Rattus norvegicus: one gene and its partner. The protein of the gene in region 1 interacts with the protein of each later gene in a pairwise test. Links are inferred from orthologs where the notes say so. Each region holds a gene or a part of one and is shown on either strand. Other genes may lie near its edges. The genes, in order: Ercc6l2 and Cyren.

The links.
Region 2: the proteins of Ercc6l2 (region 1) and Cyren interact in binary tests that used the Homo sapiens proteins (3 or more experiments, as listed by UniProt). The two-hybrid records come from large-scale screens. The link is inferred for Rattus norvegicus from reciprocal best matches to the Homo sapiens genes ERCC6L2 and CYREN.

What each region holds. Positions count from the first base shown.
Region 1 is NC_086035.1:1,219,810-1,235,138, forward strand, and holds the end of Ercc6l2 (DNA excision repair protein ERCC-6-like 2), read right to left. Parts: intron 7,978-15,329; coding exon 7,796-7,977; intron 4,130-7,795; coding exon 3,160-4,129; 3' UTR 2,330-3,159; downstream 1-2,329. UniProt on the Homo sapiens protein: Promotes double-strand break (DSB) end-joining and facilitates programmed recombination by controlling how DNA ends are joined in a spatially oriented manner during repair.
Region 2 is NC_086022.1:64,510,633-64,526,755, forward strand, and holds Cyren (cell cycle regulator of non-homologous end joining), read right to left. Parts: upstream 8,111-16,123; 5' UTR 7,845-8,110; coding exon of another isoform or gene 7,804-7,844; intron 6,884-7,803; 5' UTR 6,776-6,883; coding exon 6,636-6,775; intron 5,779-6,635; coding exon 5,703-5,778; intron 4,831-5,702; coding exon 4,564-4,830; 3' UTR 3,845-4,563; downstream 1-3,844. Other genes in the region: Tmem140 (transmembrane protein 140), read left to right, coding at 2,673-3,227; Wdr91 (WD repeat-containing protein 91), read right to left, coding at 11,195-11,359, 14,217-14,414, 15,936-16,048. UniProt on the Homo sapiens protein: Cell-cycle-specific regulator of classical non-homologous end joining (NHEJ) of DNA double-strand break (DSB) repair, which can act both as an activator or inhibitor of NHEJ, depending on the cell cycle phase.

The DNA of each region.
Region 1 (15,329 bases):
GGCAAAGTAAATGCTCAATAAATGAGAACTGATGCAGTTATTCCCCAGCCCAATCCCCTTTACCCTCCCTAACAGAGGAAATGAGAGGTTTACTACAGCGGAGGTCCCTATGTTTCAACAGGCTTTGGGGATGCAGTGTGGAAAATGGATTAGAGAGGGAGGAGGCAGAAGCCTGGGAACCCAGGGAGAAGTCTGCAGGCATCCAGATGGGAGGTGGAGGGACAGAAACTCAGGCTCTTGGCAGTGGGATTCAGGAAATATTTCAGAGACATTCTCTCCAGGACGTGATAACAGGTTGGGAATGGAGGCTTGGCAGAAGGCTCTGGCTTTGAGGGAAGCATGAAGGTGGGAGGGCAGGGAAGGCAACCGCAAGGCCTGTCCTAGAGGGTGTGTGGCCAAGGATTGAAGGCCCAGCCAGCAGGTCCAACAAGAGCAAGGGCAAGGCGTGCACCGGCTTGGGGAGTGCTTCTGGACGTGGGGGGCCCGCTTCCCGGGGCAACTGGCTGGGGAATCTTAGGTGGAGTTCGCCAAGGTGCTAAGTCGGATTTCCTCCTGGGCCAGCCTGCTGTGTGTTTGCGAGGCTTGCCTGGCTAAGTCCCCAGGGCCCTCGCTAACACTGCGCCTGGAACCGGCCAGGAGTTCCACCCTGCCAGTTTCCCACTTCCTTCCTAGCTCTGCTCTGCATCTCTGTCTAGGTGCTTGCGGGAAGGGGGGCGCCTTCGCCTGGCAGCTTCCCAAGACTGAGCGTTGGGGATCAGTTGAAAGTGATTTAGACAGCAGAAACCCGCGCCTCCAGGATTCAGGATTCAGGATTCAGGATTCTAAGCCTGAGGTCCACTCGCCCAGTCAACTGTGCCAAGCTGTGCCCCGCGGGGGTCCCCACCTGCTCCGACCTATTGACTGTCCATATACCTGCTTGGCGACCGACCACCGGCACTAGGCGACCCTCCCCACCCTCCTGTTAGGATGCTATAGGGACTCCACCGGATCCCTGCTTCAGGGCTTAGGCCCTTTGAGCTCCTGCACAACAAAAGCTGGACCACCCACAGCTTCACGCTGTGAGGGACGCGGGAAGCCGCCTGGCTTGTGGCTGGTGGCAGATAACGCGCCCCCCACTGGCTTGAGCTCAGGAGTTTTCCGTAGCTACTGCCAGAGCATAATTCCATTAGCCTTTCTTCTCTTTTAGGGCAGATTCTCTGTCCTGCCAGGGGGGCAGGGAGAGCACTAGGCCCCAGCTCAGGCTTTGTGGTTCCTTTCCGGGCGTTGCCAGCCACCGGAAGTACACAGAAATCCTCATTTGGGGCTCACAGTGTCTGCAGTTTGTCTGCAGGGTACGGCCAAGCTCAGTTGGCTGAGATCCATCTTGTTGCAGGCGGAAAATGAAAAGCCCAGGAGTTCCACCTTGCCCAGCCTCGAAGGTCAGCAGACTACTGAGTGGCAAACCTATCCCTGGGCTGGTTTTGATTTACCCCACAAGCTGGGTGTACCCCCAAATGCCCAAGAGGTTAATCTGTTAACTGTTCTTAGTTTGACTAAGCTTGCTCCCCTCCTATAAGGCCCCTCTGCTCCCTGGGGAGTGGAGTGGGCTTGGAGGCCTCCAAAGACTGGAAAGCTCTTGGAAGCCCATTTCTTCTTGTTTCCATAGTGGCAGTGCCTCACAGGGGTTGGGGAGGGGGCACTGATTTCTGCCAGTGCAAGCACAGCTCCCCCTCTCCAATATGCTCCTGCAGCAAAGTGTGAGTGACCATGGCCCTGGAACACAGACTCAAGAGGTTCTTATAGTAACAGGACAAAGGAAGTAATAAAATACTCCAGTGTGTGTGCACACATGTGAGAGAGAGAGAGAGAGAGAGAGAGAGAGAGAGAGAGAGAGAGAGAGGAGGTGGGGGAGGGAGTGAATGATGAGAGGGAGGAAGAAGAGAGAAAGGGAGGGGGAGGGAGGGAGGCAGAGAGAGAGAGAGAGGCAGAGAGAGAGAGAGAGAGAGAGAGAGGCAGAGAGAGAGAGAGAGAGAGAGAGAGAGAGAGAGCGCGCGCTCGATCAGGAGAGCCTACTGTTTTCTGAGTAGACAGTTCCTTCCTGCAAGCTCAGCTGAATGTGGGCAGGTACCAGACTGACATTTCAAGTGCCAGTCAGTCTCAATGCCAGGAGCTATTCAGACACTTTACAGAAGGACCTCCTTGCCTTTACCTATCTATATCTGTCACCTACACGACTATACCTGTCACTGTACCTATCACAGACCAGAGAAGCTGAGAAAAGGTACTAAATAATCTAATTGAGCACATTTCAGAGTGTGTAAACCACATATATTAAATTCAATGAAAGAAGTTTAAATTAAGATCAAATGTTTATTCATTTACATTTACTTAAGAAATACAAAGGTAGGCTATATATCTTTATTTATATTTACTAAATCACAGTAATGTGAAAAGTTCAGGTATTGCTATCCTGGCCAAAGATAGAAATCATCCCATTTCTTTAACACCATAGCACACAAACACTGAGTAGTTATAAAAATCAGCATTTTTAACAAATACCATATATTGAGTCCTAATTATTGAGTCTTAATTACAGCTTTTATCTAAAATAATTTTATAGCAATAGAACATAATTCCAAGGAAGAAGGAAAAACAGTAAGTTCTCAATGCCAATGAGGAGAGTGCAGTGGCTGCCACTTGACTTTGGGACATTCTGGAGTTTAAAAGTGGAAGGCTGTGTGCTGCTCTGGTTCAATTCTGTTATCTTTCACATAATGAATGGGCATGCACAGAGCAAGTTACTCATGTAAGGCCTTGGATTTACAGAGGACGGAAGACTCCCAGTTAATAATAGTTAAATTATGACAAGTTATAATGATACAATTGCATTTGTTTGGAAGATCAAATCTGGGGCAGGAGATGTAGCTCAGTTGTCCAGAGTGCTTGCTGGTATGCATGAAGTCCTGGGTTTGACCCCCAGCAGTGCATAAACTGGGTGCTGATGATTAAAACAGATATTAGGAAAAGACAACCCATGATAACATGCTAAGCTGATAAAATGACGCTAAAGCAATGTTAATACACAAGTTTGCAGACAACTGTTCTGCGTGCCCCACACACGAACATACACAGCCAGGGCCAGCAGCTCACTGGTATCTAATCTAATGGCACGTCCACGCCCTACTCTCTCTCCCTACTGCTTATGCTTTCATCATCAACATCTGAGCTAAATGTCTTCCACAAAAACTTCTCGTTTGCTTTCCAAAGGGAAGCTTCCAGCTCCTCTTTCCTTTTGGAGGCTGTGGTGCGGGGTGCTTTGGTACACAGTGTTTCTATCACTGCCAAGTCAGTGAGTTTGCTGAGACTGTCATCATTCTGCTCATTCAAGATGTCCCAGAAATCTTTTGGTCTCTGCTTTGCTTTTGCCACAGGTCCTGAAGGACCGTTCTTTGGCAGCTGTGTGGGACCTTCCCCATGGCTTTTAAAGAGGTCGTTAAGAATAGAGGTGTCACCAAGTAAGCCTTCTGTAGGAGTGCTTTCTGACACTGGGTTTTCTACTCTTTTGTTTCTCAGCTTGAAACATGGTCTGTTCCTTGAACTGCCTGCTCCTGTGAGGTCCCACTGATGTCCTGAGGAACCTTCTAGCTCTGTCTCTAGGGCTTCAGACTTGCTGTCTGGACAGAAGAGTGTCATGCTATCCTTGGGTGTGTGGTTGTTTCTCTCACTGTAAATCTCCTGAGTAAAGTTGACAGGTGATTTCTTAATCTCTGCACCACTAGAAAATGTGTCTTCTTTATGGGAACCATGATTCTGAAATCTGACTGATTTTCCTTCACATATTTTTTGGTTGTAAACTTGAGACATTTTGTTGGTGGAATCATTACATGATAAAGTACTATCATTTGAGGGCCTTTCTTTTAAAAGAGATTCTTTTCCTTTAGATTTGTTCCTCACCCTCTCTTCTTTCTCATGGACAGATTTCATCAACTCTGAAGCAGAATCCATGAAGAACTCCTTTACCTCCGGGTGCTGAAGACTGTAAAAGTCCCTGAGCATTCTCTGTTGCTCTTCAGATGTGGCGCTAGTAACTTGTTCAGCAAACTCCTTTACAGAGAGCTTGTAGAAAGAGGCCATTTCTTCAAACTGCTTTCTAAAGATAAGTCAGATTAAGCCAGTGGTCATTTTTTAATAATACATTTACATTTTATTTTTAAAGAGTTTAACAGGAAGCTGTTGAGATGGCTCAAAAGGTACAAGTGACAAGCTGCATTCAGTCCCTGGAGCCTATGTAATGGTGGAAAGACGGTCAACTCCACAAAGTTGTCCTCTGGCGTCTACACAGGCACAGGCTTTGTGGTCCATGTGCCCACACTCACTGTGATGGAGTTAAGAATGATAATGTGCTCCTTAGCAGTGACAGGAAACACAAAGGTTAAAGCAATGCGCCTCATCCCTCTGGAACATCAGCTTAACTAGGAGAACATGCCTCTTCCCCAATGCTACCAGAAACCATCTTTTAGCTCATTAAATCATCAGCTTTTTAGGTAACTCTGATTTATACTATTATATATTTCCTGGGAATTATGAGAGCTCAGCAGGCTACTCCTCTAGTTAGCCAATTTATGGCTAACGTGAGAATCATCATTTATACAATCTATTTTTTTGAGAATCTATATAGCACTCAAGTCCCATAGAATTACATTGTTAAAGATTGGCTTTGATAAATGGAAAATTCTAGAAAAATTAAATTTCCCCTTCCCTTTCACAGTATAGAATTTCATGAAGTTTTGTTGAGCTTAAAAAACAAAAACAAAAACAAACAAAAAAAAAAACCTCTATAAGTGTGGTTCTTTTTCCCCACTGTTCACCTTTAGTGCAGACAGCTAATCCTGGACGCCAGGTACTACTTTCTAAGCATGGTGGTGCACAACAGCAAGCCTAGTCCTCAAGTGGCAAGAGGATGGAAAGGTTGAGGTAGGGTGGGTTATGTAGGGTGACCCTGTCTCAGAACCAAAGGAAGCAAATAAGCAGAAAGAGTAAGATGTTATTTGAAGAAGTGGATTGCATCCTTGAGTAAGACACTAACAGACACTTCAATATGCACACCCATAAGTGGGTTTGGTAAAGTGGAGGTAGAAAATTATTTACGTTCCTTAAGCCACAGACTGCTGCTTTTCACAGGGAAGGATTTGGAGTCTGAATTGAACCTATTCCCTAAACACACTGAAGTCCAGTGTGAGAGCACTGGCAGAAGGACCTACAGGACTACGTACGGTCATGGGAAGAGCACGAGATCCCCAGAGTCACATCTCTCTAGGATGAGAGAAAAGAGAACTAGCATGATGCTACTTCTACAGTCTCAGTTTTGAGCCAGGCTTGATAGAACAACACGCTTATGATTCCAACATTCTGAATGCGAAGGCAGAAGGATTGATTCTCAATCATCCTCAGCTCTATGGTATATTGAGGCAGTCTGGGCACCATCAGACCCTGTCTTACCCCACCCCACCATAAATAAGAGGGAGTGTATTTTTTGCTGATGCCGTGTTTGGGCTTTAAGTCGTAAGAGCTCAGTATCTGTAGATTTGTCTTCAGATAAAACCAAAACCAGCACTGCAGCACGTATTAAAGGCCCCACTCCCTTTACACAGTCTACCAATTTCCTCAGAGTCCTGTTATGTCCAAGCACCACTGTACAAACTACACCATAGCAAGACAGACCGATCCCGGGCCTCACGAAGTTCCGTCTGGCTAAGAGAGTCAAAGCAATACAGTCAGTGTAGAATCTCATGATGAAGGGTAAATTCAGCTCTCCTGGCACTCACAGTGGATACCTAAGTACTTGCAGGGTAGGGAGAGGTTCTCTGTTGTCACCTCTACCTGTCAGGTAAGGATGAGCAAGAAGCATTCAAGAACTAGTTCTCATGGACCTAGAACACACCAGAACAGGTGAAAAGGCAGAACTGGCCAGCAATCATGGGTCTGCATTGTTAGTTTTTTAAAGGCTGAATTTTCTCTTCATATAACATTCTTAGGGTAAAACAAGGGTTTTTAAATGTAGGAGCATTCTAACCACAGCTTTTGTGATTTCCTGTTCATTTGGCTCTGCCTCCCAGGTCAGGTAACAGTCTCTTGTGGTTGTAGTGACAGCCTAAGGTGAGTGTCCACATTCTTTTGTGGCTGAGAGGTGTTCTATGGCTTCTGGAGCTCATGTCTTGTTCTATGTTCTACAGCTGATCAATAGTCTACAACAATATATTTCATTCCACGAATAACCCCCCGCCCCCACCTCAATTTCTATCCTGGAAACTGCCAATGTTCTTGTTGGAATGCAAGCATGTTCTTAAATGGTTCTGTTCTCATGTCAAATAAAGCAACAGGATGCTACTGTTCTGCCTACTACTCATCACCAAATCCATTTCCAGGACCCAGTAAGTATTTGTACTTATTTATAAAGATTTAGTAACCAGTGGGCTATTAGGTGATATATTTAATTTATCCAAGACTTGGTGATCTCTCAGCAGATGCCAAAGTAACTTTATCTCTGCTGTGCTAAGAAAACACATAATCTCATCTCACCTGTGACCCTGGGGCAGGTCACCCCTGGGAGGAGTGATGCTGCCATGCTATTTAACCCAAGGAGCCATTGAATGAATTGCCTATGGTTGCCCCTTACAGAATGATTTTTGGCCTTCCCACTAATTTTCCTAATTCTGGAACTTCAATAGGATTTTCTTTAAGAATTTAAGAAAATGCAATGAATAATAGAAACATAAGCTAACCACTTTTATCAGAGTAGCTTTAAGACAAGGGAAAATAAAAACCAAGTTAGGAATCTATAGCATGTCTATCAGAAGTCACGATGGCTAATATTTCAAAGGCTTTTCTGCATGGGAAGGATCTGAACTGTACCTGACACCCCCATGTCACTGCCTTGCTTTCTGAGGCTAGATGTGCTGACAGCCCTAGAAGTTTATCACTCAACTACTACAAGGAACAGCCACAACTGACTGACTGTGATGGCAGCAGGAAGGGGTGGAGTGTCCAGGCACTCTAATTAGTGTCCTGGAATTCTAATATTACTCTTTATCTTTCTCTAGCATGAAAAATTTCCTCTCTGGGTTGGGTAAGAAAACAATGGAAGGAAGCAAGAAGAAATCCCTGCTATACCTGCTTCCTTTTGAACAGACACCATTATAGGGACCAGACCCATGTTTCTTTAAAGACTGGGGAAATGTAGTTAGTCTTCTAGAAGAATCACTGACAACAATAAAAAAGCATTCCCTGCAGAAACCGCTGTTGCCAGGCAAGCCTGCCAGGCAGAATAAGGGGCTGCCTCATGCCAGCTCTTTGGGTTACTCCTTTTCCAGGCAGCTCAGGAACCAACTGTGAGCAAGAGCAAGTAGTTTCCACTGTCCACAGAGGTCATGAGAACCGGGCTGGCTGTGCCTGGTTCATCTCTTGACACCATTCTTGGTAACATTAATAGCTGTGTATGGAGACCCCACTGACTCACTCATTTCTTCACCTGACCCCTGGGGACTGCTTCAATCCCATGCTTGTCCCATATTCCTACATCTCTGTGATCTCACAATTTAGGAGTGAAGGCAGTAGATTCATAATACCAGCAAAGTCCAGGCCAGTCTGAACTACTCAGTGAGATCCTGCTTCAAAAGGATTTGCTTTTATTTTTTAATTATAAAAGTTCGTGTTTTCTGAAGTTTGGATGCGAGATATGATTATACAATATACATTTTATTATGAAACTGTATTTCTTCTGAGAATTAGCCTGAGGTCTAGCCACAGACAAACATACCTGCGGATTCCTCTTGGTGTTTCTCCAATGATGAAGGTAGTGTGGTTAGTACGGTAGACATCTTTCTTTTTCTGGCTTACAGGGTGGGATATATACAGAGGAGAGGAAATGTGCCCATCACTTGGTGGCTGGTCTTTCTTTGTAGGTATCACTGCATTTGCATTCACCTTACTTTTGTATGTCTGAAAAAAAAAGGAAGTACAATCTAAGCCTGAACAAAGCCGTTTTGGATTGATAAGACAAAGAATGTCACACTTACTTCCCAGATACTTTACAGTGAAGCAGGTCACATTATCCAACTAAAGCAACTTTTGGAGGATGGTAGTGTAGGCCAGTCAAAGGAAGAATACAGAAAAATGTGGTATTGCCTACTGTCAGGATTACAGTTGACAAACACACAGGCTGATCCCTATTACCCTAAGGATAATAATCAATGATTAAATGAATGAGGCTGAGTCTAGGCCAGGTGCAGCTGTGCAGACTCAGCCAGTGCGACAGGAGTAGAAAGACGGCCCAGTAGGCAGAGATTCTTGCATGAGGCCCTATGAGTGGATCCCACAGGGCAGGAGAGAACCAACACCAGACTTGTCTCCTGACCTACATATGTATGTTACAGCACACATGCATGGTCCATTAATAATATTTAAAAATAAACCAAAAAAGTTCACCTAATTTTTAAAATTTTGTATTTTTCTAAAAATTATGAATCAATTTTTGTTTAATTTTACATAAGCACACAAACTAGAAAAATAAACTGTTGGGTAACAAAAGGAAAACCAGCTTTTAAAGTCCTACTTCTCAGCCTCTGTTAGGCTAAAGAATATTCAGTATTTTAAAATATTGTCTACAGTTTGTAAGTTATAAAGAAAACCAAACTTACTTTACAATAATTTTATGGCTGTTTGTGAATTGACAGTAGGCAAGGAATCAAATGCTATATCTACTTCTAATCTCAATGACAAGTGTGACCAGGTAGGAAGTTCTATTCCATTCCAAAAATAAAAATAATAGATACAAATTTACAACAACAACAAAAACATATTTAACTTTAAAAGTGAGAAAAAGCAAGCCTGCTAGGTTCCAAAAGCAAAGAAATGAGAGAGCAACCACAGGTTAGCACTCTAGAACACAGCCTGACGACCTGTAAAGGAGCTGGGGGATGAGCATGATTTAATGTCCTGAAGTAAAAAACCAAAGAAAGAGGCTGGGAAGACAGCTTCACTGGCAAAATGTTCACTGCACAGGTGTAGGGATCTGTACAGGGATCTGCACTGGGCTGGCTAGATGGCTTGATGGGGTGAGGTACTTGCTGCAAAGTCTGATGACCCAATTTTGATTCCCAGAAAACACTGTGGATGGAGAGAACCAATTTCTGAAAATTACTCTCTGACCACTGTGGCACTAGCACATACACACAAATGTAACTTAACTAAATTAAAGGTATTAATATATCTACTAATAAAAGATCTAAGTGTGATCTGAACTCATCAAAGCTGAGTCCTGTGGTACATACTTGTAATCCTGATGCTGGGGAGGAAGCAGGAAGGTCTTAGGCCTCACTGTCCCAAGGATGGCAAGATACTTATGTGCACATATACCATAGGAGAAATATACAGGAAGCAGCAGCAGCAGCAGCAGCAGCAGCAGCAGCAGCAGCAGCAGCAGCAGCAGCAGCAGCAGCAGCACTGCTGAAGACGTAGCACAGTAGTAAAATGCTGGCCCAAAACATGCGAGGCCTTAGGTTCTATATCCAGCACTCCCCTTCCTACAAGAAGGACTGCTAATTTAAAATTTTAAAGCCAGACAAGCTTAAATAGGTACACAGAAGAGAAGCAGGGGCTACCTTCTTACTCTAGACATTAAGAATGTCTAGAGACAAAACAGAATGGCCAGCAGGTTGCAACTGGAGAATCTGATTTTGTATATCCTGGGTGGTAAGAAAAGCTATGCTGAAAATCACATAAAAACTGGCCAAGAACCATTGAAAACCAGAGTCCAATGAGGTGCAAACACAAGAACACTAAAGGAAGGCTTGTGACTTGGTGGGGAAAAGAATTCAGAAACTCACAAAGAACACTAAACCCCACACCTGTTAAGGCAGAGGTGCAGCCAATAAGAAAACTCTACTGCAGTCTGACAGTGAATCAGATGACCTGAGGGACACTTTTGAAGAACTTATCTGGAAAGATTAAACAATGAAACAAAGACAAACAAAAAACCCAGCAAGGCACTTTAGACAGACCAAATACAAACTTTAAGAAAAATTTAAAACAAAATAGGAACAATGTACAGGTTAGACAGCAGATAACCAGACCTGCCATGACAGTTGATGAACCAGGAGAACAAAGTGACTTAGAGTAGCACTGGCACTGAAGGGAGAAGAGACAGAAAACATGCTTTGAAATTCAAGGAAAGAATAGAGAAAATGGGAGATGATGTAACCACAGGGCAAAAAATTAAAACTTCTAATTAAAAAGAGAAGAAAGGATCTTTACTAGGAAAAATGAAAATAAATGTCCTCCTTTAGGTTACAGATAAGGAAACATTCTAAAACCTACTGGAGGGAGAGAGAATAAAAAAGAATCAGCAAATGTAAGACTTCTAATTGGCACTACCAGACAGAAAGGGTAATGTCTTCAGCATGCACACAGGCAGCACAACCTGCAATCACAACTGCGGCCTCACGACTGCTAAGGCCAGGCCCTATAGAGCATGCCTGTACTGTACTCCCAGCTACTTGAGGAGCTGAGGCAGGATTGTGATTTCAAGGTCAATATGCATCTGAGATACAAACACACTAAGGTATAATTGAAGCCGTATCCCAGAGATAGAAGACCTTTTAGAAACTGTGTACGTTTAGCCCCTTCCTTTTCTTGTATAACACATGTAACTTAACTTACAATCAAATCCTTCCCAACACCTTAACAACTGTATACAAACCAGCTCTACTGAAGATAAATGGATGTCTTCAGAAGCAACAGCGCTCTACCTGGACAAACAGTGACAGGCAGACAGCTGATAACAGCCAGGAATACAGAAAGCTGCTTTGCTAAGGTCATCAGGCTTTTAACATCATAACTGTCTGAAAACATTATCAATAAAGAGGAAAATACTGATCTTTAGGATAAATCCGAAAGAGATGTTATGTATTTATTTCCATCAGAAACAGGATGAAGGCTACAAGTTATGACAGCTTCTGATCCCTAGAAATGGGTATTCATTATTTTAAGAGATGAGAATGTTAACATGAATATAAAGAAAATAAGCAGAAAGCGCAATTGAGCCAACCAAGAACCTCCTTCCTCTTACGCTGTGATTTCTGAAGCCATGGAGAGATGGCACCTGCAATGGCTCTTGTCAATTGTTTATGCAATTGCTCTTTCTGACATTACAAAGCTCACATTTTATACACATCTAAAGAACCAGTTTTATAAATCCTTCAGGAATTCAGCCTTTGCAAACACAGATGCTGGACATATGGATCATTAGATTTTTGTGACATATTTCACAATTTAAAACAAGATTCTTAAAAGGAGAAAAATCATTTTCCCCCACATGAATTATTTTTTTTTTTCTTTCTTTTTTTTTTTTCGGAGCTGGGGACGGAACCCAGGGCCTTGCGCTGGCTAGGCAAGCGCTCTACCACTGAGCTAAATCCCCAACCCCCGCCCACATGAATTCTTTATCCTATCTTTTATTATTTTTAAAAAGATATAATTGTAGATTGCTACTTAGTAGATAAATTTACCATTTTATTGAAATTAAGTTGTAGAACATAAATTTGTACTTAGTCCAACTGTATTAAGATTTCAGGAATATATGTGCTGTCACTGTTATACTGAATTGTAAGTATAGAATGGAGGTGGTGAGTTATATTCTGATTGCTATTTAACAAGTTACCATGGTATTACTGGCTTGAAACAACATAAACTTCTGACCTTACATTACTATAGGTGTGTCTGACACGGATCTCACTGGGCTAAAATCAAAGTGCTGGCAGAGTTATGTTCCTTCTCTGAGGCTCTATGGGACAATTCATTTCCAAACTTCCCTAACTCTCAGATGCAGACCACAGTCCTTGTTTTCCTCTAACACTTATTTCAGGGTTACACCACGCTATGAGTACAGCCAGGGAAGATTCTTCTTGTGAGAATGAATGTGAATATACTAAGTCCAGCAAGATACTCTCAGCAAAGAATTCTGGTCAGTTAGCTAGTGTCCTTAATGGTATCCATCTTGTTAATTCAACAAGGTCAGCTTGATTCATCCTGAATTGTATCTACAACCTTAATTCTCCTTTGTCAGGTAAGGTAACATTAACGAGCTTCAGAGTCTGGCCATGGCAGGAATCTTAGGGATCAGGGGACTTTTTCTTACTAAGAGTCCTTTGCCGTGTCCACTGATACTATGAAGGTTCTGGGACTGCAGAGAAAGGTACTCTTGAGCCTTTTGAAGATCCATTTGCAAGGTGCGTATGTGAGCATCTATACATCTCTCCGACAGAAGAGCCTAGGACATTTTATCATTGTCTTAACGTATATGTAAACAGAAAGAATTATGAACTGCTGGTTTACACAGTTCCATTTATATAGTTTTAAAAATCCATATTTCTTTTGGAAAAAAAGTGTATTAATTTATAAACATCTTGGTGCTCTTGTTTTAGAGATGGCTTCAAAGTAGTATAGCAAACTCTTCACCACAGCTGAGATGGGCAATTAATGCCCGTGAAGCTTTAGCTGCACTGACAATGTTTGACTAGGACAGAACAAATCGAGATCATTTGAGCAAAGTATGGAGTCTTTACAATGAGATAACACTAAGCCCCTAGAACAAAGCAGACTAGGAATTTAAAGAGTAATACTGTCTCCTTTAACATTAGAACAGAGAGGGAAGCAAGCTAAAAGCACCTTTCTTCCTCTGGGAGAGCAGGGCAAGCAAACAACTAGATCACCGTGTTAAAACTGGATGGAAAATGTTGCAATTAAAAGGTGAAGGAAGAAAGCAAAAACCTGTTTCTGCACAGTCATAATTATCCCCCTTTCTATTGATTAGTGAATTAGTTGAGACATTGTTTCAGTATGTAGCCCAGGCTGGCCTTGAACTCACTATATAAGTCCCATACTGGTCTTAAGTTCACATTTTCTTGCCTGTCTCCTGTGTGCTAGAATTACAGACATGAACCTGGCATCTCTAATATTTTCTCCACTTTTTTTTTACAGTTTATATGTGAAACACTCCTACAGGCATGTGTTTAAACATTTGGTCCCCAGCTGGTAACACTGTCTAAGGAAGCTGTGGAACCTTTGGAATGTAGGCTTTGCTGAATGACATAGGCTATTAGGGTTTGCCTTAAGGGTTACAGCCTGGCCCTGCTTTTGATCCCTGCCTTCCTGACTTGCCACACACTTCTGCTGCCAGGAACTCTTGACATGCCTTCCCACCATAACAACTGAGGCTCTGAGCCAAACCTGTCTTCTCTCTCTCTCTTTTTTTTTTCTTTTTTTCGGAGCTGGGGACTGAACCCAGGGCCTTGCGCTAGCAAGCGCTCTACCACTGAGCTAAATCCCCAACCAAACCTGTCTTCTCTTAAGTTGCTTCTGCATATATTTTGTCACAGTGACAATAAAAGTAACTAATGCAGCTGCTTAAAAGATATCAAGCGTAGGGGAGATGGCTCAGTAGTTAAGAGTACTTGCTGCCTTGAAGAGGACTTGTGTCTGATTCCCAGTACCCACAAGGTGGCTCATAACCATCCATAACTCTAGTTCTAGGAGATTTAATACCATCTTCTGACCTCTGTGTCTGTGTGCACCAGACATGCAAGCAAAACACTTACACACATGAATTGATGATGATGATGATGGAGGATTCCTCTGGAAGTCCTTTTATTGTTGAGGATAGTTTTAGCTATCATGGGTTTTTTGTTTTTCCAGATGAATTTGCAAATTGTTCTATCTAACTCTATGAAGAACTGGATTGGAATTTTGATGGGGATTGCATATATCTGTAGATCTCTTTTGGTAAAATGGCCATTTTTACTACATTAGTCCTGCCGAACCATGAGCATGGGAGATCTTTCCATCTTCTGAGATCTTCAATTTCTTTCTTCAGAGGCTTGAAGTTCTTATCATACATATCTTTCACTTGCTTGGTTAAAGTCACACCAAGGTATTTTATATTATTTGGGACTATTATGAAGGGTGTTGTTTCCTTAATTTCTTTCTCAGCTTGTTTCTCTTTTGAGTAGAGGAAGGCTACTGATTTAGTTGAATCAATTTTATACCCAGCCACTTTGCTGAAGGTGTTTATTACGTTTAGTAGTTCTCTGGTGGAACTTTTGGGATGACTTAAATATACTATCATATCATCTGCAAATAGTGATATTTTGATTTCTTCCTTTCCAATCTGTATCCCTTTGATTTCCTTTTGTTGTCTGATTGCTCTGGCTAGGACTTCGAGAACTATATTGAATAAGTAGGGAGAGAGTGGGCAGCCTTGTCTAGTCCCTGATTTTAGTGGGATTGCTTCAAGTTTCTCTCCATTTAGTTTAATGTTAGCTACTGGTTTGCTGTATATGGCTTTTACTATGTTTAGGTATGGGCTTTGAATTCCTGTTCTTTCTAGGACTTTTATCATGAAGGGGTGTTGAATTTTGTCAAATGCTTTCTCAGCATCTAATGAAATAATCATGTGGTTTTTATCTTTCAGTTTGTTTATATAGTGAATTATGTTGATGGTTTTCCGTATATTAAACTATCCCTGCATACCTGGGATGAAGCCTACTTGATCATGATGGATAATTGTTTTGATGTGTTCTTGGATTTGGTTTGCAAGAATTTTATTGAGTATTTTTGCGTCAATATTCGTAAGGAAAATTGGTCTGAAATTTTCTTTGTTGGGTCTTTGTGTGGTTTAGGTATAAGAGTAATTGAGGCTTCATAGAAGGAATTCGGTAGCGCTCTGTCTGTTTCAGTTTTGTGGAATAGTTTGGACAGTATTGGTATGAGGTCTTCTATGAAGGTCTGATAGAATTCTGCATTGAACCCATCTGGACCTGGGATCTTTTTAGTTGGGAGACTTTTAATGACTGCTTCTATTTCTTTAGGAGTTATGGGGTTGTTTAACTGGTTTATCTGTTCCTGATTTAACTTCGGTACCTGGTATCTGTCTAGGAAATTTTCCATTTCCTGCAGATTTTCAAGTTTTGTTGAATATAGGCTTTTGTAGTAGGATCTGATGATTTTTTGAATTTCCTCTGATTCTGTAGTTATGTCTCCCTTTTCATTTCTGATTTTGCTAATTTGGACGCACTCTCTGTGTTCTCTGGTTAGTCTGGCTAAGGGTTTATCTATCTTGTTGATTTTCTCAAAGAACCAGCTTTTGGTTCTATTGATTCTTTGTATAGTCCTTTTTGTTTCTACTTGGTTGATTTCAGCTCTGAGTTTGATTATTTCCTGCCTTCTACTCCTCCTGGGTGTATTTGCTTCTTTTTGTTCTAGAGCTTTTAGGTGTGTTGTCAAGCTGCTGATATATG
Region 2 (16,123 bases), on another chromosome or scaffold:
GGCCCTGTGTTCCTTCCACTCCCGTTTTCGATTGCTCCGTTCTCCATTGCAAACTCATGGGAAGTCAGGCGTGGTGGCACATGCCCATTACCAGCGTTGCAGAAGATGGGGCAAGAGGATCTTAGGGTCTGAGGCCAACTGGGGCTACACAGAGAGGTTCTTATTTCAGAACAGGGCAAAACAAAACAGTAACCCACCCACACCTCCAAAAGATCAGTTGAGAGTAAACGAAGCCACAAACAAGGGGTCCGGCAGGAGCTGTGCCGAGGTGGCCACGGCCTCCTCTAATAAGCCAAGTTCACTGTCCAACCTTGCCTCAGGCGTAACTGTCTAACCTAACCCACAGGATCCAGACCGGAGTCTCCCAGGTGGCACCCTGGCGTTTCCCAAGCAGTGCAGGCTGCGCACGGGTTATTTCCTACAGCACCACTGGATAAACAGGGGTCCCACACCCAGAAACCCACCCTACATCCTGAATACCTAATCCCTCTAAAAACATACCTATAGGCTTTGTAAAAAAAAAAAAAAAAAAAAAAGGTTCTGAATGACCAAAACGGTTTAAAATATGTTGGGAATTTTTTCATACCGTGGCTGCATGAATTAAGTATTTCGTCCTTCGGACCTAGTGAGGAAAAGCAACGGCTGCCTCTAACAGTCTCTGGAGCAAGCCTCACTGCTCCAAGAATCCCTAGTACATTCAAACAAGGCCTCTGACAAAAGCTACTTCTGAGACCGGAGGGAAGCCACAGCGACAGCCAGGAACTGCTCAACCCTGGGTAGAGACACTGTCCATTCAGACCTCAAAATGTTCTAACCGGACCTGTCTACTGCCCGGTGGCTGCTAAAACCAACCCCTATTGTGTCATATCTGAAGAAGATGCCCCTCCCTCCTGCTCCCTCCACCCCACCCCTTTAAGGCAGGCAAACATTCTTTCTCCCTTAATTCTTTCTGGTTCCTGTAAGACAAATGGGATACACAGAAATCTCACTGCACCTTGAGAAAGGAGCTGTTCTCCAGGAGTTCATTGAGGTCCATAGGGTCTGTGGGCCCTTGCCCACAATGCTGGGCTGCACCTAGCTCTGGGGATTAGGCCCATGGGCTTGGTGTGTGGGCCCTGGTGCTTGTGTCTCACAAGGTTCTGAGCTCTGCTTCCCGAGTTACTCCTGGTGTTTGTTTTATTCCTTAGCGGGAAACGCACAGAAATAGGCAGTGTGCAGACTATTTTTGAGGCAATTAGGAAAATCCCTTCTGAATAAAAATGAAAAGGGCTGGAGAGATGGCTCAGTGGTTAAGAGCACCAACTGCTCTTCCAGAGGTCCTGAGTTCAAATCCTAGCAACCACATGGTGGCTCACAACCATCTGTCATGAGATATGATCTTCTGGTGTGTCTGAAGACAGCTACAGTATACTCATATATATAAATTAAATAAATCTTTAAAAAAATGTAATGAAAAGGTTTTTCTAATGATAGTGTAGTAAAATAGGCTCTTATATACACTTAGAAAGAGGGCAACGGCATCTGTAGGTCCATCCTGAAATACGTACGTAATAAGATCACTAAGATGAGACAAATAGCTCTAAGTTGAGTATGTCTTTTTTCCCCTTCCTTCTTTCCTTCCCTCCCTCCCTCTTTCTTTCTATCTTTCTTTCTTTTCTTTTCTTTTCTTTTCTTTCTTTTTTCCTTTCTTGTGAGACAGGGTCTCTCCACATAGCCCTGGCTGCCCTGGATCTCACTCTGTAGACCAGGCTGCCCTCAAACTCTGAGATCCACTAGCCTCTGCCTCTGAGCGCTGGGATTGAAGGCAGGTACCACTACACCTGGCCCATGGATTAAACATTATGTAACCATTAATCATGTTTTGAAGAATATCTCAACAGCTATGAAAAATGCCCACAGCAGTCAGAGGAAAACCACTGGGTTTAACACTGTGCTTTAAAGAAATAACGATCACAGGGAAAATAATGCGGAATATGAACAGTGGCGTTACTATGGTGGTTAAGACAAAGGGTTATTTTAATTTTTTTCTTTTAAAAATTTCCTAGAATAATAGATTATTGTTGTTATGGGGTGGGGGGTGGGGGCAGACAGACATGTTTTGAAATCAACATCATTCAATAGTGTGATTTCATCCCAAGAGAGGTTCAGTTCCCAAATAGGGCAGGAGACACAGGCCACTGATCCTCCACCCAGGCTTACACCCAACCAACCGAGACATAGAGCTTTGCTGACCACGCACGCGCAGAGCACAGACACTGGTCTGACTGACGTGTGGCCTCGCTGGGCAGTTTTTCGGTTCCCTAAGTGGTTGTCTAAAGCAACTGAGCTTAGGTTCAGTCAAGCCTGGATCACCTACCTCAAGCTGCAACCCCAACTAACAGTGAGGCTTTCCCTTCACCCTCACACCTCTCAGAGAGCACCACCGGTTTGTGGGATCTCTGCTGCAGTAAACCCCTTCACCTGAGGGCTGTGGCTCAGGATACTTCAAGTTTCCACAGCTGCCCAGTTCCTTCCAACCGCAGACCAGTGGGCCACTGGGAGTGGGAACTGGCTGTGACTTGGGACCTCCCGTCTACACGAGGGCAGAGAGAATAGGAGCTTGTACACACAAGGAAAGGGCTGGATTCTCACTGGTGCCACCTTTTCCAGGCCTCCCTGCGACAGCAGAAGGAATGGCCATCTCCAGGGTGTGGCGGAACCGCCTGTCCTTCATGGCCATCATGATCCTCGTGGCCATGGTCCTGTCCCTGATGTCCTACGCTCTCCTCTGGAAGGCTGGCAACCTCACTGACGTACCTAACCTGAGAATCGGCTTCTACAACTTCTGTCTGTGGAAGGAGGACATTGGCTCTCTAGAGTGTTACAACTTTCCTGAGCTGGGGGTGCTGGGGATACCTCAAGTTGGCCTTGCCCTGGCTAGGCTTGGTGTGTATGGAGCCCTGGTCCTCGCAGTCTTCGTCCCTCTGCCTCTCCTCCTTGCCCAGTGCAACAGTGATGAGGGAGAATGGCGGCTAGCCGTGGGCTTCCTGGGGGCATCCTCTGTGCTGTTGGCCGGCGGACTAAGCCTCTTCCTCTTCTTGGTGTGGAAGTGGCTCAGGCTCTCCTTCCTGGGGCCTGGCTTTCTATCTCTGTGCCTGGCCCAGGCCTTACTCATCATCTTGCTTATGGCTATGGTTATGTTCCCACCACGAGATAAGAAGGACAAGAACCACTGGGAGAACTGCTAGTCCAGTCTTACAAAGGCTTATGGGATGGCAAGGGTTCAGTTCCAACTGTGCTCCAAGAAGGTGCCAGGGAACCCGTGGCTGGGTGGGTCCTTTCAACCACCTTGTGTCCTAGCCAATGTTGATCTCCAGCTCAGCAGACAGAACCCACTGAGCAGAAGACTGTGGTGTCAAGGAACCCAGAGGCTGCTTGGAGGGCCAGGGTACCTGCGGTTCCTTAGGTTACCATGGAGCTCATGCACCGGGATTCCTGCGTTAATCAACCAATCCTCAATAGCCCCGGGCACATGGGAGTCTGTCAGAAGCCAAATTTCCAAGCTGTCTTGGCAAAGTGTCAAACTATAACTCTGTGGTGGTTATGGCAACAAATGGGACGGTTAGAAAAAAAAAAAAAAAAACTGTTTCAACAGCAAGTCCTGTCAGCACTGAGCGAAGCCTCGCTGGCTTTTCAGGGCCCCCCTGAATGGGTCCCTGGACCTGACAGCAAACAGGAATCAGCTGTTACACCATTCTTGTGACTCAGGGATGCAGACGAAAAATGTGCCAAATCCTGGAAGGTAAACAGGGCTGACTAGTCACCACAAACACACAGCGCGTCCCCTCACCTTACCCAGACTGGAAAGGCTTAGAAGCACGGTCTTTATTATGCATTGGGGCTTCAGTATGTATCTTTTCAGTGTGTGTACCAAAAAAAACCCTAAGTGGTAACGAGTTCTTCACTCTGTGCTCATCAGTAAGCCAAAGTGAACCCAAAGAAACGTGGACTCTGGTGTGATCCTTTGTTCTGTTTCCCTTCCCTACTCTCCCCTACAGCTCTACAGGGACCAAGGTGGAGGCCCCAGGTAGAAGGGAGGTGACTGGTGGTAGACAGGACCTATTTGACTCAGCAGTCTGATAGAGCCTCCTGCTCTCGGATATGGCAGGGAACTGTGGGCAGCTGCCAGCGTGTTTGGTTGGAAGGGTGGAAGCTTGCTGCTGGACTGTATCATGAGGGAGACTGTTCACAGGTCTCTTTAAGTCTGGCTGCCCATCTCCAATACCCACGTTCTCTGCAGCTCTAGTTTTCTTTGCTTCTAGCCCAAGACTTTGTTTTTTTTACTGTGACTAAAACATAGGGCTGGCATTGCAAACCCTCAGAGCCAGAGGGTGGTGCAGGATAAGACTATAAGAGGATGCATGTCTGCATCCTGCTACAGAATTAGTCCCACCCAAACTGACAGCCTCCTGGGACTGGAAGTTGGGAGCAAAGTCTGGGTTTTCATGGGTGGCAGGGGCAGGAAGTGCCCACGGCTCTCCGCACATCCTAAAGACTCTCCGCAGAAGCAGCGAACAGTTCATACTAACTGAAAAATATCTCCCTGACGTACTTTAACTCGTCTTCCTCCTCCTTTCCCTCCTCCGGGCTTCTGCTACAGGGAGAGTTAGAAGCTTCTGGTCCCCGGGCAGGGCTGAGACCTAGTGCAGGAGAGTCGGTTCTGCTGTCTTCTTCCTCACTGCTGCTCCCTGGGGAGCTGGTGTGAGGGGACTCGGAACAGGGAGGGGAAAGCTGCAGCTTATCAGGGGCCACCAGAGACGGCTGTTCCCAGGGCTTTTCCTGTTTTCGGCCCTGCAGAACAGAAGAAATGGCAGTCTCAGAATAAGCAGCTTGTTTCCCGACAATGACGCACTAGATTGACAGTGCTATGGGTGTACTCTGAGCCAACAGAAAAGCCAGCGCGGCACATGACCAGGCCGGGCCAAGCTCCCACGCCATGGCAGCCACCCTTGATTCACCCCACACCTCAGGACCAGGACCCACTAGCGACAGATGCAGGGGCCTATGTATGAGGAATATTGGAGTAGAAGGAGAAGGAATCCAACTGAAAAACATGGCTGGAAGGGCAAGGAGCAAGACCACCAGAAGCCCAGGCCCAGAATCCTCTGCGGGCCTAACTGAGCTCCACCCCTAGCTGGCCCCAGAGCCTTGATTTCCTGGGGATAGCAGTATCCCAGATCAGCATAGTCTAGGTAGCCATGAGCACTGGGAAGATGATACACTGCTTTAAAACACACAGAAAACACGAGAACTCTGCAACTTCACGGCAGGGCTGCTGTTCCTCCCTCAGGAGCCCGGGACTCTTCCACAGGCCTTTGCTAAGGAGAGGCACGCTGGGGAGGAGTCCTCTTACCCAAGTGGGAACCTTCCCAAGTACACGAGTGAACACTGTGCCCTTCACATACATGTCAGTGTAGTTACCCACAGGTGCCTGCTCTCCCTCACACCCGCGCCCCACCTGCACAGCTAGTCTCAAAGGCTCACCCCATGTGATAAACAGCACACACAGTGGCTGAGGGAAAGCTGGCTGAAATGAGGAAGCAGGAGGAAGATGTGGGACACTAGGCAGCCTGGGGGGAGCACTTCTCTTACCAGGAGCAAGGGACCTATGCTAGTTCCTACCTATGAGCCCTAGGAGTCAGAAGAGACAGGACTGACGTTACCTCAATCAGGATCCCCAGCGCCACATCGACCATTTCAGCTTCATTCATGCAGTACACTGTCTCCTTGGCCGGGGCTCTGAAAATAGAGACGCAAAGCCACAGCTGAGGGCGGAGGGACTCAGAAGGAGGGTGAAATGGAAGTAGCCCCCAGGGCATGGGCGAGTTACTGCTTCTCTGAACTGAAGAGTCCCCTCATCCTAGTGGCCCAGGGACAACGCACAAGGCTACCTGCCCTCCACCCTCCATGATCTCCCTCACAAAGAAGAGGAGTGGGGATGGTGGCTGGCTTCCCACCATTGCTCTTTCAAACACACAGTGGTCGGCCAGGTGTGGTGGTGCACCGTAATTCCAGCACTGGGGAGGTGGGGGCAGGCAGAGCTCTGTAAGTTCCAGGCCAGCCAAGGCTACAGAGAGAGACCTGTCTCAAAAGCAAACAGAGGATACAGCAAACACAGGCCATCAGGCCAGAGCCTGATTCGTACCTGAATGTGAGGATATGTTTAGACAAGGGCTGTGAAAACTGTGGAGGGCACAGGTGGACAGGAAAGAGCCAACGAGTATAGCACTGAGGATGGCAGCGCTCTCCCTCCCACTTGATAAACACCGCCCCCCCCCCAAACTACCAGCATTCACCTCACATCTGAAAATTTGATTGCCTGCCTGAAAAGCTCTGTGCTTCATTGATCTCGCTTTTATCACAAATGAGAGCTTCTGGCTTCTGGGGGCGTGGCTTGTTTACAGAGCTCACTGCCAGCTAGATGGCAGCACCTCACCAGCACAGAGCTCACCAACAAAGCACTCAAAGCGGTGCTTCTCTGTGAGGGGCAAGCTGAGACCTCAAGGCACTGCAGGAAGGACCCACCTCATTACCCTGCCCACTCTGACAGGCCAGGAGAGCTACGGAGAAGCCCTCTTGACCTCAGGCTGTCCCACCTTGTTGCTGCCCCAACTCGAATGGCTGCTGTCTGCTTCCTCTTGGCTGTCTTCACTGATACAACCTTTCTCTCATTCCCAGGGGCTGTCATCCACGAGGGGAGGACCCTCTTTTTGTTATCGGATTTTAGGGTTTCCATTGCTATGGTTTTCCACACTCAGGGACTTGCTTCTCTACAGCAGGACCAAAAATCACACTCTCATCACACCGGGCTTATCTGACCCCAGTGGGAGCCGATCTTGAATGCCTACAAGGAGGAACCAAGTCAGTAGATTCTAGTAAGCCAACGCTCTTTCAATTTACCAGCAATAATTACTGGTCAGTGTAGGGCAGGCCTAGGTGACCCAGAGGTGAGCAGAGCCCAGAAGGCCACGTACTGCATCAAATGGAGGACTCGCAGCAGATAGGACAATCGGGCCTGGGGATGAAGTTCTGTGACCCCTCCACTGCTCTGTGCTCCACAGGTAGTTGGAGCAACAAGAAATGCTTTCCTGTCACTTCTGCATCCCAGGAGGAAAGAAGGAAGGGAACTCTGGTCTCCCTTTCCTCTGCATCCCATGATGATCTCTGTCACAAACTTCTCACTCGCACAGTGATTTGGTCACTGTTAGCATGTTAATGTTCCTTCTAGGCTCCACCAACTACCTAGCAACACTCAGGTTCTATAAGGCTGGCTTGCTATAAAAGGGCTGTTTGGCTTCTCACTCTCTCTGACCCCTTTCTCTCTTTCTGACTCCCCCACCCCCACTCCCAACTCCGCCTTTCCCCCTTCTCCAGGTCTCTCTCTCTCTCTCTCTCTCTCTCTCTCTCTCTCTCTCTCTCTCTCTCTCCCTTCTCCTCTCTCTCTGTCCCTTTCTCTACCTCTATTCCCTTCCCAACCACGCTTCTCATGACCCCAAATAAACTTTCTTTTATACTAGACCCATCATCATATGGCTGATACCTGGAGGAAGGGGAAGGCTCGGCTAAGGCACCCTCTTCCGCCACACCATACTGCATTTCACAAAACATATCAGTTACTAAAGCCCCCAGGCCTTCTAATTCACAGATTTCATTAGCTTCCCCTACCCCCAACATACACCACTAGAACATTCTGGCTCGCTCAGAATGACCGTTTATAACTTCATTTTAAAACACACAGGAAAACTAGCAGGGCATCATCCTAACCTGTTCAGCCACAGAACAGAAGTCAGTAAGATGAACACCATCCAGTGAGTGCCAGTGTTCAGAAATGAATCAGACCGGGCAGTACTTGTACCATCACGTCCATTTTATAGACAAGAAACAGGCGCAGTTACGCGTTAACGGGCACAGAGTCGCAGCAAACTGAACATCAACCATCGAGCCAGGTCCTGCCCACCGCAAGGTTTCTGGAACTCAGCGCTGATGGGGTCAGGCCGGTTGGATCCCAGGAAAATCTCACTCAGAAGGCACACGCGGGCTGTCGCTGCACTAGCCCGGTGCTGGCCGCGCCACTCCCTCCCTACCGCACAGGGCGCGGAGCCCGGGTCTGGGGACTGGATGGGACCGCGAGCAAGAGGGCAGAGCGGCTCTGCGCTCTTTTTGGTGGGTTCCGGGATTTAGAACCGCGAAGCGCGCACGCATCCCACCGCCCGCCCCTTCCGGCTCCTGCGCGCTCGCGGTGCGCGCGCCCCCGACCCGGCCGCTGGCTGGCACCGAGGGCCTCGGGTGCCCCCTGCAGACCACCGGCCACATCCGCAGGCCCTGGTTTCTGTCCGCTGTTGTGGCTGAGGAGCAGCTGTTGTCTCTTAGAAAGCACCCAGAGTCAGTAACTAGGGCGGTGCAAAGGGCTTCTGGCTTTGATAGTCCTGCTAGGGGATCCCCAGGAGACCAAACTTAACGGGGTGCCTGACAGTTCAGGGAGAGAAATCAAACTCCCATTTACTGTTTACATTCAGGTTGGCGGTCCAAGGTCCCCTCTGCAGAAGTGGAGGAGGCCCCAACAAGCTCCCAGCTGTCTGGGGTCTTTTAGCTAAAATCACTCATGATTTAATGCAGACTGGGTGGTTGGGAAAGAAGCCACAAGAGACGACTGAAAACACAGGAGTGGGCCGTCACAGGGGAGGTTCTCTGGCACCCTGGAGCAAAGGGAACCTCAGATCTGATTCTGTCCGCCTCCAAACAGAGAAATCAAGACTATATTCGATTTACAGCAGCAGGTCAGCTGTAATCTCCAACTGCACTCTGGACTGGGGCACCCGCGGCTTCCCCGTCGAGCAGGTTTTCTCCCCTGCCTTTCCCTGGCCCTACTTGATCGCTAATCCTCAATCCTAAACGGATAGTCTGGACCAGGAAATTTAAGTTCCCAACTTTCAATGGGACAAACCAATGGCTTCCAATTCCACCAGTGACCCCTAGGGTCATTTCAGCTGCTCTTGAACCAGACCAGACTTTTCTGGGAGGGCAGGCCCTGGCTTTCAAGAAAGTAGGGTCCTCAACCTCACCTGATGTGAGCCAAGCAAGTCTAACGCCGGATGAGAGGGCAGCCTTCCATCCTTTGATTTCCTTTGATTCTTAAAACTCCCCCAACCCTGCACATTTCTTCAAACTTCTCCATGGTCACCCAACAAATATGGCTTAAGATGAGAAACCTGTGTGACTTCATACAGAGTCTGTTGCCTGCAGAGACCCCAGCAGGAGTGAGGAACCAAGCTGGGAGGCTCGCCTATGCTGGAGTCCACATGGGTTTTATTATTTTTAAATTGGCAGGTAAATGTATTAGAAATAATAACAAATGTCAGTCAGCTTCATTTAGTCAGCCTGAAATGTAAGCACTACTGTGCTTCCAGACCTCATGCCAAGCTCCTGGGCATTTGAATGCCACAAGGGGCCTGGGTTTGGGGCTGAGCACAGGCAGGGAAGGGGAGATTCACACCTGCCAGACCAGGTTCTCAGCCCCTGGAAGAGTGGCTTAAGGTTTGCAATGTGACCTGCCTTCACTTGAGGACAGCAAAAGAGGGAGCCTTACTAAGGCCCTTGAGGGTTCCAAACGGGCGCTTTGAAGGATGCACTCTTCCTGGGAGGAGTTGGAAGGAAGAGGCTCTGGAGTGTTCCTTCTGTCTCTGAGCCTTAAAACCACTAACTCAGCAAGTTGTAAGGAATGCACTGGGAAGGGAGAACAGACCGTTTAAGACAGAAAAACTAGAGGAAAGGTTAAACCATGGCTCTTGACTCGGACGAAACCCTGGACCACAAAGCTGGGTGAGACAGATGATGAGGCTGTGGAGATGTCAGCCGGAGTGGAGAAGTGGCAGGGAATGGATTGAGTCTTCATGTCGGTGTGGTCATGGGTAAAAACAGGTACGCATGAGGTGACGCAGCAGGTAAAGCCACTTCCCACGCAGCCTGGCCACCTGAGCTTGATCCCCAGTACTCACAAAGGTGAACAGAGAGAACTGAGTCTACACTGAGTTGTCTTGTGACCTCTGCTGTGGCATATCCCACCGCACCCCACCCCCACCCAACACACACGTGACTATGACACGTAGGCTTTTTCCTATATATTGCTTTCTACTTTTCCTTCCATCCCAGAAGGGAGCCCAGGCCTAAGCACTCCTGCTTTTTCCCTATGTAGGCACCTGGGAGTTACCAGCCCAACAGCCCACAGCCAGCCTGGAGCCCAAAGAAGCTATCAAATGACTATTCCAAGCAGTCACTGTTCGTGGAAGTGGCATACCCTAGTCAGGTAGCAAGGTCACCCACGGCAAACGTGGGAGGCCCATGCCAGGGCCCAGACCCACTGACCCTGTAAGGGCTCTTTCATGAGGCTGGTCTCAGCAGTAGGATGTAGAACCCTCCTCCCAAGTGAGAGACCAGAGCACAGGTTGTGACAGGAGTACAGATGTAGCTGATCCAGCTACGCCCGGCAGAGGTGCAGGCAGCTGGTATTACTCAAGCTCAGACACTTCAAGCTGGAAAACTGAGGGAGCCACCAATGAGAGTTCTGTGGCCAGAAGACCAAGGGGAAAGGGTAGCTGGAGGCCCAGATCTCAGGCCTGTTGTCTGGAGAAGCTTCTTAACCAACAGCTTTCAGGTTCTGCAGAAGATATCAGATCTTGGTGTGGGGCCAGAAGAGGGCACTGTGGTCTACACCTCAACTCTAACCGAGTTCTGCCAGAACCTGGGCAGCTTAGCTGAAGCACAACAACCAAAGCAGGGATCTGTGACAATCACTAGGCCCAGGTGACTCACACATTCCAGAAAGAAACACCAAGTGACAGTAAGAGCATTATCACGCTCCGATTTTCTTCCCTTAAAAAGAGAAAAGTAAGCAATTATGTACAAAATACAGTCAAAGCCTCTTGGACTGAGCACGGTGCACCAGTGTGGCTCCTTCCTCAGCGTCTGTCCTGTGCTCTGGAGCGCACTCTGCACAGACTCCTGCTCCAGGAGCTGCGTTTGGATGACCGAGCCCCCTCGGTGGTCTTTCCTGAAGATCCGCAGCCCTGGCTTGAACCAGAGCCCTGTCTTGTCCCCCGTCTCATCTCTCTTCTGCCAGAGACAATTCTGTTTCCAGTGTGTCACTCCAGGCCGGAAATCAGAGCTTATGTGCTAGGAGGGTAGTGAGCTTGATCTTGCCATCCATGGAGGCAGTGAGGCACGTCCCACAGTCCATTGCAGTGCTCCAGTCCACGGTGACCACAGGGGCACGGTGGCCACCCAGGCTCAGACAGTTTTCTAGAACTTTCTCTTCACTGCCCAGCTGCAGAAGGACAGGAGTGAAGAGGCAACATTAGCAGATGTCACTCGCAAACATACACACTTCAACCCAAAACTTTCAGTGTCCTAAAACTACCTTGAGCCTGGGAGTGGGCACCCCAATCTGAGGATGTGGCCTGGCCACACCCCCACTTTTCTGGAAACCCTGTTTATACCTTCGCTTTCCAGACTGTAGCCAGACCACCTTGTGTGGCATCTCCTCTGTGGCCTTGACCTATCTATCTGCGGGCAACTGCTCCTGCACCTACCCTGTCTGTTCCCACATCTACCTGCTATAGAAGCAACTGCCAGCTGCTGGTTGATTCCAGACTGTGGACAACTCATTGATCTGAAGCAGTTATTACCGTAGGCATGCAAACTTTGGGAGGGCAGGACCTCTATGACCAGTCGTATCACTCCAAACATTGCCAGGCACAGGAAGACTTTGATGGATGTGTGAACAAGTCTGCTGTTCAGTGCACACGCGCACGCACACACACACACGCGCACACACACGCACACGGTCTAGAACTGTGCACATGTGTGAAGGGCCGGATGCTAGCAGGTACTGCACTGGGAACCAGAAACAAGATGACTCCTAGTAACACTACTCTATGAAACCTGTGAGCGAGCAGCAGAAAGCATTTGCATTCTTGAAGAGATCATTAAAGAGCCATCATTTAAATTATTTATGGATCATGAAAATGCAATCTGAAGTTTAGCAGACTCCTTAAGTAACTGGAACCATTCATGACACTTTAAAATTTACCCAGGAACACCTGTCAACCCATCACCTGATCACAGAGCAACTCTGTGCATCACATAAACTGATGGGGAAAAGGCTGCGTGACTTAAAACAAAATGCATATCCAACCATTCCTCCACATGGACAACAAAGAACAGCTCTCCCGGAAGCCAACTAAAACAAGCCTTAAAGAGGAAAACTAGCTTGTAACTGGTGTTTTAGGGTATCTTGAAGGAGAGACCCACACGCGAGATCATGCAGTTAACACTGCAGGGAGGGCGAGAACAAAGTAATGCTGTCCTCTGTGGGAAGAGGAGCCCTACTGACCCCGGTCTCACTGAGCAGCCTTCAGGTCTGTGTGAAGCTCCTCATTCCCCGCCTCAGCACCCACTCAGCCCAGAGAGCCCCCAAGAGCCACTTCCCAGCTTGGGGCCCAAGGAGTCCCCCCCACTCCTACGTTCCCAACCCCTTTTCTTTCCAGTCCACAGACTGCAGTCTCCCTCTAGGTCTTCCTGAGAACTTGGTCCCCACCCAGGTTCTCTGGGAACTGCTCAGGGCTTAGCTGTCTGTCACCTACTCTCAGTGCTGTCTAACTTGTGTCTGAACCCCAGGCAAGCAGAGACAACATTTTTTAGCTCCTTGGTCCACTCCGCAGGACAGTGGTGCCGGGCCTAGCACAGAACTACTGTTCAAACCCCAGCTGTTTGCTGACTGACAAGCGGTGGCACCAGACACTGAAGGACCCTCTGTCTCACAGACTAAACACTACTGGCCAGGAAACATTCTCTGAGGAGCACTGAAGGGGGAGAGGAATTCACAGCACCAGACACGTGGTCTTGGGCTCAGTCCTCAGCACTCATCCCTGGGTGATCCGAGTGAAAAGGTCAGCATTCAGTCTCTCAGGGGTACAGAGCCCTGAAGCAAACCAAGCAGCGCTGGTTACAGAGGTTTTGTTTGCTTGCTTTGTTCCCGTTTGTTTTTCCAATCTATAAACAGGAACAAAAAGAAATGTAGACAAGCCAACAAGGAGGCTTAGTAGGTAAAGGCATTTGCTGCCAAGACCAAAGATCTGAGTTCAATCCCCAGAAATCACATGGTAGAAGGAAAGAACTGAGTTCTACGGGGTGACCTCTGAGCCCCCTCCCCTTGTCAAACATGTACCTATACACAAAAATAAAAGATAGAGAGACAGATAGATAATTAGAGGTAAACAGATAAATACAACCCATTTGAGTCCGACTCCTAGCATCCCTGTCAGGCTGTTCACAACCACCTGTAACTCTTAAGTCTATGGGATCTGACACTTTCTTCTTGGTACCGCCACACACATGTGCATAAATACATACAGCACACAAACACAAATAAAATAAACTTGTATCCTAGCTTGACAAAGGACACCCTTGAGTTTCTGTCTCACATGTAGACTTTGGTGTACTTGACCCATAGGCCTCCTGCAAACCTATTCTGACTCAGTGATGAAAGCAATCTACCTAGCCCGGACCCATGAGACCCACAAGCCCACAGTCCCAAGCCCTTCGCTCTACTGATATCTTGGAGAATATGTATTATTTCCAAGGAATAAGACAAGAAAAGGACAGAATCTTATCAAATGCAGGGCACAGGGCACACTCAGCTATGCAGGACAGAGGACACAGGGCACACTCAGCTATGCAGGACAGAGGACACAGAGCACACTCAGCTATGCAGGACAGAGGACACAGAGCACACTCAGCTATGCAGGACAGAGGACACAGGGCACACTCAGCTATGCAGGACAGAGGACACAGGGCCACACTCAGCTATGCAGGACAGAGGACACAGAGCACACTCAGCTATGCAGGACAGAGGACACAGAGCACACTCAGCTATGCAGGACAGAGGACACAGGGCCACACTCAGCTATGCAGGACAGAGGACACAGAGCACACTCAGCTATGCAGGACAGAGGACACAGGGCACACTCAGCTATGCAGGACAGAGGACACAGGGCCACACTCAGCTATGCAGGACAGAGGACACACTCAGCTATGCAGGACAGAGGACAGAGGACACACTCAGCTCAGGTCAGCCAAGCTGAGAAAAGTCCCTACCCACCAGTCCTCTGCCACCCACTTACCTTGTAGATGAGGCCCCCTGTGGCAGAGCACGTCAGCATGTAATTGCCCTCTGAGTCAAAAGCAAACAGCCGCCCCCTGGGAACTTGGACCTGCTTGTAGCCACTGTAGCCAGACAGGACAAAGGGGCCAGTGGCATCTGAAGGGAGGCTGTACTCCGACACCTTGAGACCACTCTTGTGGATGTTCCACTGGATGAACTGCAGAAACAAGGCACAACAGGGGCCACTCAGTCACACACAGGTCACTCCCCAGACACCCTCAGAGCCCCCAACATGGTCACCACCTTGGCCTAAGAGACAGAGCCATGGTCAAGCTCGGGCAGTGAATGACTGGGACAACTGCCTCTCTCACCGGTTCCACAGCCTTCAAAACAGCCTTTAATGAGCAGGAAGCAACACAGGGCTGTGGGGACCGTGGTCTACTCCCCAATCTGTCTCTCACCAGGGGGGAAAAAATCTAGAAAATAACAACTTCGTATAGAAGCCCAGCCCTCCCTGTTCCTCTGGCCTGAGCTCAGGTGAGGAAAAGGGACGGTCACTGGCTTTGCAAGGCCTCCTGGTCTCCTAGGCAAGGTGAGTGAGCAGGTGTGGGGAGGTGCTTTTTCAGTCACCTTTAATACTATCATTATTCCTTCCTGTATTATCAGAATTGGGGCCCAGTTAGATTCTCTGGACCTGGGGACAAAGTATAGAATACAGATGGACAGATTACAAATGCTTTTCAATCGCTCAGCAGTGCAGTCAATCTCTGTCTCACTGGTGATGTGGAGAATGAAGCCCTGACTGTAGACAGGCTGCGCCTCATCCCCGGGAGTCCTACCCACAGAACAGATGTTGAACTTAACTTAAAAGCCCTACGGCATTTCCAAGGGAAGAAATGAAACAGGGCAGGGCGGTACACATTTATAATCCCACCCCTATGGGAGACTGAGGCAGAAGCAACTTGAAGCCTGTCTTGGAGCGCATACATACATACACACACAAACAAATAAATACTATTAGGTCTGATGGCTCACATCTGGCATACCAGCACTTAGGAGGCTGAGGCCAGGTTTGCCAAGTTTGAGGTCAGCCCTGGCTACAAAGAAAGATGATCAGAGAGAGAGACAGACAGACAGAACTGACCGACTGACACTGGTTTCATAACCACTGTTTTCAGTGGCAAATACGAACAGTATAAAACCCAGTATAAAACAGTATAAAAGGTTTAGGAGGGTATATGAGACAGTTACGTCTTTCTCCTACTTCTGTCTCCCCTCAACTTCAGCCCAAGGCCACTGTCACCCCCACTTCCTAACAGACCCTTCCACAGAGGAGATCTGCACGGCCTTGCCTTATACTGACTTGGGGTGGGGGTTGTTTACTTTTTACTTCTTTGGGCTCTGCTCAAACCTGTTTCCCATTAGGACGCTTCCTACAGCAAACCCTACACACTGTCTTGTGACCACGACCAACCACACTCACCAAAGAATATCTTCCCACAAATGTGGTTCCATCTCTGGTGATGTGAGTCAGTTTTGCCTCAGCTAGGAAGAAGGATATGGAACTCCTGTCTACGAGAACAGCCAAATCCCACCGCACTCACTGAACCCCACAAAGATGCTCTGAGGTAGACTTCTATGTATCCTTATTTTGCAGAGATAAAATGGAGGCAGAAAGAAGTCCAGAGTCACGGAGTTCATGGACGGTCCAGCCACCGCCAACGCTGCAGACGCCTACCTTGCCGTCCTCGCCGATGCTGTTCACGGCATTCTCATCATAGCTGAATTCCACAGAGTAGACCTCCCCACAGTGGGCCTTCCAGCTCATAGCACATCCATGCTGCTGCATGTCTGGACAGCAAGACCACACCTGGTAAGGCCTCAGTGTATGGCAGGGGACCCTCGCCCTCTGTGACAGCTGCTCTA